Caenorhabditis elegans: one gene and its partner. The protein of the gene in region 2 purifies or fractionates together with the protein of the main gene of each other region. This does not show direct contact. Each region holds a gene or a part of one and is shown on either strand. Other genes may lie near its edges. The genes, in order: dnc-3 and dnc-4.

What was found.
Region 1: the proteins of dnc-4 (region 2) and dnc-3 purify together in Caenorhabditis elegans (affinity purification with mass spectrometry; 2 studies listed by BioGRID, with this or other methods). This does not show direct contact.

What each region holds. Positions count from the first base shown.
Region 1 is NC_003280.10:3,551,784-3,555,416, reverse strand, and holds dnc-3 (DyNactin Complex component), read right to left. Parts: upstream 1,638-3,633; 5' UTR 1,582-1,637; coding exon 1,510-1,581; intron 1,460-1,509; coding exon 1,337-1,459; intron 1,292-1,336; coding exon 1,181-1,291; intron 1,129-1,180; coding exon 1,028-1,128; intron 979-1,027; coding exon 870-978; 3' UTR 800-869; downstream 1-799. Other genes in the region: W10G11.19 (DUF4105 domain-containing protein), read right to left, coding at 2,022-2,237, 2,281-2,647, 3,229-3,444, 3,507-3,633.
Region 2 is NC_003282.8:8,017,467-8,021,476, forward strand, and holds dnc-4 (Dynactin subunit 4), read right to left. Parts: upstream 2,343-4,010; 5' UTR 2,323-2,342; coding exon 2,219-2,322; intron 2,154-2,218; coding exon 2,026-2,153; intron 1,981-2,025; coding exon 1,863-1,980; intron 1,817-1,862; coding exon 1,384-1,816; intron 1,340-1,383; coding exon 1,098-1,339; intron 1,054-1,097; coding exon 837-1,053; 3' UTR 709-836; downstream 1-708. Other genes in the region: elpc-4 (Elongator complex protein 4), read left to right, coding at 1-159, 210-667; C26B2.2 (Membrane-associated kinase regulator), read right to left, coding at 3,739-4,010.

The DNA of each region.
Region 1 (3,633 bases), on a different chromosome or scaffold from region 2:
CCACGGAGAATTAGTAGAATTTTGAAAAATCTAGCGGTGTAACCGCGCTCCAGAGAGAATTGGTGGAATTTTTGGCTAAGCTAGTGTTACAAGTACGCTCCACAGAGAATTTTGTAAAAATTTCGAAAAATATAACGATGCAGCCGCGCTCCACAGAGAATTGTCTATAATTTTGAAATTTCACGTGATGTTAGGGTGTCTCATTTTGGCTTGATCTACGTAGATCTACAAAAAATGCGAGAGAAGAGACGCAGGTTTCTCAACTGATTTCGCATGGTTAAGAACGTGCTGATTCCCGAATTTTTTGTAGATCAAACTGTAATGGGACAGCCTGGCACTATATGAAATTTATTGGGATGCAAGTACGCTCCACTGATAATTGATTTCAAAAAAATTTTAAAAATACTGATGCAAGCGCGCTCTACTGGTAATTAGCTGTAATTTTGGATTACAACTGCGCTACATAGAGATTTTGGGAAAATTTTGAAAATTACCTTGCTGCAAGCGCGCTCCATCGAGAATTACTAAAAATTTTGGAAAAAAGTGAGGTGTAAGTGCGCTCCACTGAGAAATATTCAAATTTTCGTAAAATCTAATAATGCAAGCGCGCTCCACGGAGAAAAGTTCAAATTTTTTGAAAAATCTAGTAATTCAAATGGAGAGAAAACTATTTTTCTTGCGAGGAAAAAAATTGGAAAAAAACAAATTTTCCAATTTCCCGAAACAACGTCATCATCTTGCCCACTTCGAAAAGTCGATAATTGCTGCCAATTCGTCTTTCTGTCTAACAAAAAACTTGTAGAATTTCAATTTTTACAGGAAAACAAAGAAAATAAAAATAAATTACAATCCAGCGAAAAAATATTTAATTATTTAGCTTTTGCGTTGATTTTCGTCTGCAGATCCAGCACTTTTTCGGTGATTTTTTGGTTGATCATTGACCGCTCGGCGACAAGTGTCTGGAATTCTCCGTAGGTTCTGAAATTTTGGAAATTTCAGATTTTTAGGCTTTAAAAACTGCAATTACTTGGTCCAGTCCTCCAGGGCCTTCTCGTATTTTTCGATTTCAGCGTCAAGCTCCGGTTGAAGTGCAGCCACTTTTGAGAAGAGCTCCTGGTCGAGGCAGGGCTGAAATTTTTTATTTTTCTTCAATTTTCTCTGAAAAATCGCAAAAAAAGACCTCAAGAGCATCTGAAAATTGTTTAATCCGTTCCGCTCGTTCATTGATCAGCTTTTCCGCGTATTTTACAGACTCTATTTTGTCAGTCAGCGATCCATATGGGCCGGATGTCTGAAAAATCGATTTTTCACAGAAAATTCAGTTTTTCCAACGTACTTCCGTGGCGATTTTGCTCAAATGCTCCAGCTTTTGAATGGGAATCGACATTAGCAGATTCGCCTTACAATCATCTCGTAATTTGGATTGAAGAGCCTCGATTTGAGAGGGAATTGATGTTTTCTGGAAAAAAAATTGGCATTTTTATTGGAAATTGCGCGAAAAAAGCTTACCGTGGTGAGATCATCGATTCCTAGAACTTCTTCAATTTCAGAAATCTTTTTTTCAAGCTCGATCATGTCCATTTTCAGATTTAAAATCAAAAGATCGAAAAAGAAAAATAATAATTGAGAAATTGTGTGCAATGGGACGTGACGGTGTCAATGCGTACTTTGCATTTTATTTGACGCGCAAGTGATTTTCAGTGTGGAAACTAGGATATCGCCTGCAATTCTACATTAAAATTGTCTGTTTTTTATTAAATCTTAGTATGAAAGCTTAAAACTGAAAATTTTCATCGAAATTTCTTGTTATTTCCTTAAAACAGCTAAAAAAAGGATTCTTTTGTCCGCAATCTACCGTGGCGGTGTACCTGCGGAACTGGCATTTAAAATGACGAGCAGGGAAAATTAATTAATTCTTAAATATAAATTTTTAATGCAATTTTAATCTGTAAAACATCAAATTAAAACAAATTAAATTATTTATTTTTACCAAATTACAACAGAGCAATTTTTTAAAATTCCTATAGCTCGTCCCTAGTCCACTCCACGGCCGTGAACCCTTTCTCTAGCTCTTCCACGTCATCATACCGCTCCAACAGATTCAAACGAGCAATTGGGAACTTGAAGTTTTCAATGAGCTCCTGGCAGTGAACTGGCTCCAAATTCCGAACCCATGAAAGAATTCCAGTGAAATTGTCGTTTTCAGCGGGTTTTGTGTGGATGCACCATCCTTTTTCCTGGAAAAAATGAATTTAATTTGAAGTTAAAAAGTGAAAGTACCTGTCGCCGAATGACAATATAGCTCGGGGAATTCACATTAAAAACGCTCATCACATACAGTCCAAACAGGTCGAAACCGGTTACAGCCGAAAAATGAGCAATTCGATCGCCGCTTTGCTGCTCGGCAGCAGATTTTTTGAATCCTTCAGAATTTTTAGAGTCCAGTGGGTCGAAAAATACGACCAGAGGCTTCTGGGTTCCGGTGGCGAAGAGGAAATCGGAGGGACTTGACAATTGATGACAGCCCGGGTGTACACCGTCCTCCAAGTAGTCGACCATTCGATTCCAGTTGAGATCCTTATGAAGTGTGAAGGCTTTTACGAAGGGGTCATAGGGCTTCATCGTGATGAAGGCAGGGTAGATGGACCTGAAAGATCGGGAAATTTGAAATTTGGAAAATTCGAAAATTTCCAGGAAAAAAAAACCAATTTTTCTCGTTAAAATTCAATTTCTTCTGAAAAAAAATACATTTTTAGCCAAAATCCCAGTTTTGGGTCTTGGCACGAACGAATTTGGCTATCGTGTGGGGGTACTGTAGTTGGAAAGTTACGTTCGCGGCAGGACCCAAAAAGTTGCGATTACGACTAAAAACTCGGACTGGCATAATATTTTTTCGATCAAATCCATGCTTTGGGTCTTGGCACGAACAAAACTTCTCAGCTACCACGTGGTGTCAGAGTGTCTCCTTTTTGATCTACGTAGATCTACAAAAAATGCGGGAGAAGAGACGCAGAGTTCTCAATTGATTTCCCATGGTTAAGAACGTGCTGACGTCACTCTTTGCTAGGGGAAAAATTCCTGGATTTTTGTAGATCAAACCGCAATGAGACAGCCTGGCACCACGTGAGCTACCATGTGGGGTACTGTAGTTGGAAATTTTCGTTCGCGGTAGGACCCGGAAAGTTACGGAAAATCAAATTTTGAACAACATTCTCCACCAATTCTTACCATTTCTTGACCTCCTCGGACACCAGCGCTGTCAAATGGAACCGCCCGTGATTTTCCCGCGCAAATTTCGCGTAATTCCTCCAAATCTGCGACTTTTTCGTGTCAATAAACAGAATTGTTACGGTTTCCCGCGCGCGATCAAATCCTGGGACCATTCCACTACGGTAGCTCGGCACCAGCTCCTCGTTGAGCAGTTTTACCTCGGGTTGCTTGGTTCTGGAAGAGAAATTTCATTTGGTGGCCGAGTTTTATCCCCCACGGCCACGTCAAAATCTTACGTCAAAATCCAGTCATAAACCTGATCCTTCTGGAATTTTCCACGGAATCTTGCCTCGAGATGATCGTCAAAATTATCTAGTTTGAACGAAAAAAGCGTCGGATTCTCATCGACTCCGTGAGCCCAAC
Region 2 (4,010 bases):
GACCATTAAGCAACGAAAATCAGTATGACTTTACGAAGCATGTAGAGAATCCGAATGTTGACGTGTATGCGGAGAAAGTTTTTACGCTAAAAGGGATTTACGAGACGCTCTGCCAAATTGTAAAAGAAAATGAAGCTCACACAAAATCCGGCGGAAGAGGTGAGATTTTTATTGAATTATTATACATAAACTAATGAATTTTACTTCAGGTGGACCGAAAAAGAATCTTCTTCGAGTGGTTCTGAAGAATATCGATATGGAAATTTGTGAAGATTACAAGTTCCTTGGCCGATTCCTGTGCTGTCTCCGATCTTTAGCTCGTTCGAGTTACATGATTGTATACATCACGGCTAACTCCTTCAGAGTTCCGAAACCAACTTGGCGTATACTGGAATCCGCAGCTGATACACATATTCAACTGATGCCGTTTGATGAAAATGAGAAGAAAATGTTCAAACATCTTGGCACTGCTCATGGATACTTCCATTTGAAGAGTTTGCCCCGATTGATGTCCGTTGGAACACACACTCCACCGATTCTCGATCTTATTTTTGAAGCAAGTTCCAGAAAAGGTTTCCAAATTCGAGTGATGCATCTTCCACCTGCATTTGATGAGCCAGCTCCAGGTCATCAAAATACTCCATCTTGCCAGAATATTGATTTTTGATTTTCTCGATCATGTTTATTTGTTGTTGGGATGTTTGAATGTTGAATTTTAAAGTATTTAATTTAAAGCATAAAAACGTCTTCTAAATATTTAACAAAGCTTATAAATTATGTTTAAGAAAAGACACGCTGTGGTAGAGAAAGGATAGAAACAAATATACATGAAATGATTATCTGAGATCTACTTTTAAATTAGCAGAGAGAATTGGATCAGGACACGTTTCTTCTGGTTTCAATATTTTGTCACTAGCGGAGGAGAGACGGAACGATCCATCCTGACAATATGTAATCAAAAGATTGAGACATGGAGAAGAGAGATCCATCTCGGTGGGAATAACATCCAGTCGAAGGCCAACTCGGTTGTGCTGTCGGAACACGATGACGTCACTGGAATACCATTTTTAGTCAATTAAAAACAAGAAAAAACTAACCTTTGGTCAGCATGAACTCCAGGAGCAGCAGTATCCGATGCTCGCGATGATGGAAGAAGAAGCTGGATTGGATCACTGGAACATTGAATGAAACCATTTCCAGATTGAGGTGCGATAGTCAAATCCATTGCAGATGATGATAAGTTGGTAATAGAGAGAAATACGTGTGATGTCTCCCCAACTTTAAGATCATCAACCGGTCGAGACATTCTGATGTCAGGAACAAATTGACGGGCAAATGACTGAAATTTAAACTTTTTACATTATTGTTGAATGAGCTACTCACCGAAATTTTAAATTTAAAGGTAGTAACTCCGAAGTCTCGTTTGATAAGAGTTCTTTCGCACTCATCACATCGAACTTGAACTCTTCCAGCCAGAGGAACTTGTACAGGAAGGAGTGGCTCAGAGATATTGATCAATGGTTGCATTATGATTTGATCGAGAGTTCTCAGATCATCCGTTCTTTCTTTAATCTCATCTTCAAGAGTCGGCGCTTCTGTTGGAGCATGTGCATCAACTGGATTCATTTCAGGAGCCAGTGCTTTTTTCCGCTTATCTACCATTTGTTGAAATCCAAACTTGTCTTTCAAGTGAAAAGCAGTCCAGGCTTTGCCCGATTTTCCCTTTTTCAAATCTTTTGGAGCATTTTCAATCAATTCAAGTCTCTTCATGTATGCCGTCACCTCACCAAGTTGATTAACCAATGGATTTTCTTTTCTGTATAAATAAAATGTCATAAGATCATATTTACAGTTAGTCATACGTTGGCCAGGATTTAGTATTCTCTTGATCTTCTTGATTCGCTTCTCTTGAAGACCAACGACAGTACTGACAAACCAAATATACATTATCATTTTCTGTACGAGCACTCAGAACGTTAGCTGAAAATATTCAAATATATTTACAAAATAGTGGATAAATCATACCACACTTAGGACAATCATTGCAACTTGCGCATTTATGCTTTTTAAGTCTTGCTTCAGGGACGCTTGATGGTTCAAGGCATCGAGGACAGAAAATATTGTCAACTTCTCCCAAGCTACAGTCATCACACCTGGAAAAGTTGGTTAATTTTTTTTTTCAATTATTTTTAGACAATTACCCATTAAAAAAACTTACTTAATTTTGAAGCAATATCGGCAGAAAACAAGGTCCGGAAGGGTTCGAAATTTTCCACAGGTGCACTCGTATTTGATTCGACTGTACTGCAGCAACTCGCTCATATTGAGAACCGCAACCGCTCCTAAATGTTAAATTTTTAATTCGAAAATTTGAAAAAGTAGCAGTTTAATGTTATTTTAATCACAAAAATTAATGTTAAACTTAAATAATTATTTTTGTAAAAAAAACTATTTCACAACACGATCTCGTCCCTCGGCCGCGCTGAGATTTCTCGGCCACAGTATCGCACTCTCTCCTTTTAACATGGTCTCTCGCACGAGAAATTAGTACCCGCACAACTGGAATACGGAAAACTCAATTAATGTTGAAAATGCATATAAATAAATACGAAGGTTATTGAGGATGGAACACCTTTGACTTGACATCAATTACAAATATTTTAGAAAACAAATTAACTAATATTTTATAATCCGGATAGGGATTTCATTTGGGAGAAGATTGCATTTTACATACTAATTAAAATTGGGCTGGCAGGTCGTCGACGCAAGTGTATGTTATTACAGGAACACGATATTCTAAGAATGCATATTGCGCAACATATTTATAAAAATATATATTTGACGCGAAATAAACAAAATATCTCGTAACGAAAACTACAGTAACTCTTTTCATAAGTAACTACTGTACTGGTGTCGATTTACGGAAATAATTTTTAATCGATAAAATATAAATGGAAAACAGAAAAATGACAAAACAGTACGAATAAAACAAAAAAATAAAATCTCTGCCACAAGTGTTTTCGAACGGTAATTCGTTTCGAAAATCGGGACCGTAAATCGACACCAGCGCTACAGTAGTCATTTAAAAAAGTTTCGTAGTTTTCGCTATGAGATATTTAGTTCGTCAAATATGTTGGCAGTGAAATTCTCACTCGTTTTTCTTGGATAGTTGGGTAGAGTAAAGGGCTGGCAGTGAAACCGTACCAAACCACGCTATCGTGGTAGGCGTGATACAAGTAGTTGTACTACTTTGGCGAAAAGACCTTCCTAATCTGCAAAATCTTGAAGGTATACTGAAAATAAGATCGAGATTTGAGAAGCTGAAATTGTCGAACCTTTGATACTCATGTCAAAACTCCGATACAACATTGTAAATTTTTTGTGTGCTTAGCCTTCACGTGAAAAGTGAGTTTTCCACTGAACACCGTGAATTTCAGAAACATTTTCAGAGCGGAATTTACAGATTTCCAGAGGTCTTCGGCAAAATTTTATTTGATTCTGGTAGCTGATTACTTAATCTTTTCACAAAAAAATAAAGTATAACTTCTGTTATACTTCCAAGTTTATCCTAAGACCTAGTCAGAGAGGCATTTTTCTATTATATTCAGCACAAAAGAATGTAATTGGTTCTCAGTGAACATATTCTTAAACGACGTTTTAGTGTATTCTTCCCAAAAATCAAAAAAATTAACATTTACTAGATTGCAAGTTTATTCAAGTTCAAGAGATTCGCCTTCTTTAATCAAAACAATCGGCCACTTTAACGAACAACTCAAGGCTGCCGTCAGTCCCAGATGGAACGAGTTTTCCAAATTCGTGCTGCTTTTCGGTAAAAGTAGACGAAACGGACGTATGGGAACTGATGGATGAAGCATCAGAAGCGTGAGAAGAGGACGAAGAATATATAACTCCCAAGTTCACATAAATAGTCGGTGGCGATTTTGAAGATGGAGCTGGCGGGTTATAGTCTCTTCCGAAGATCTTGTTAATCTGCGACAAGTCGACCATTG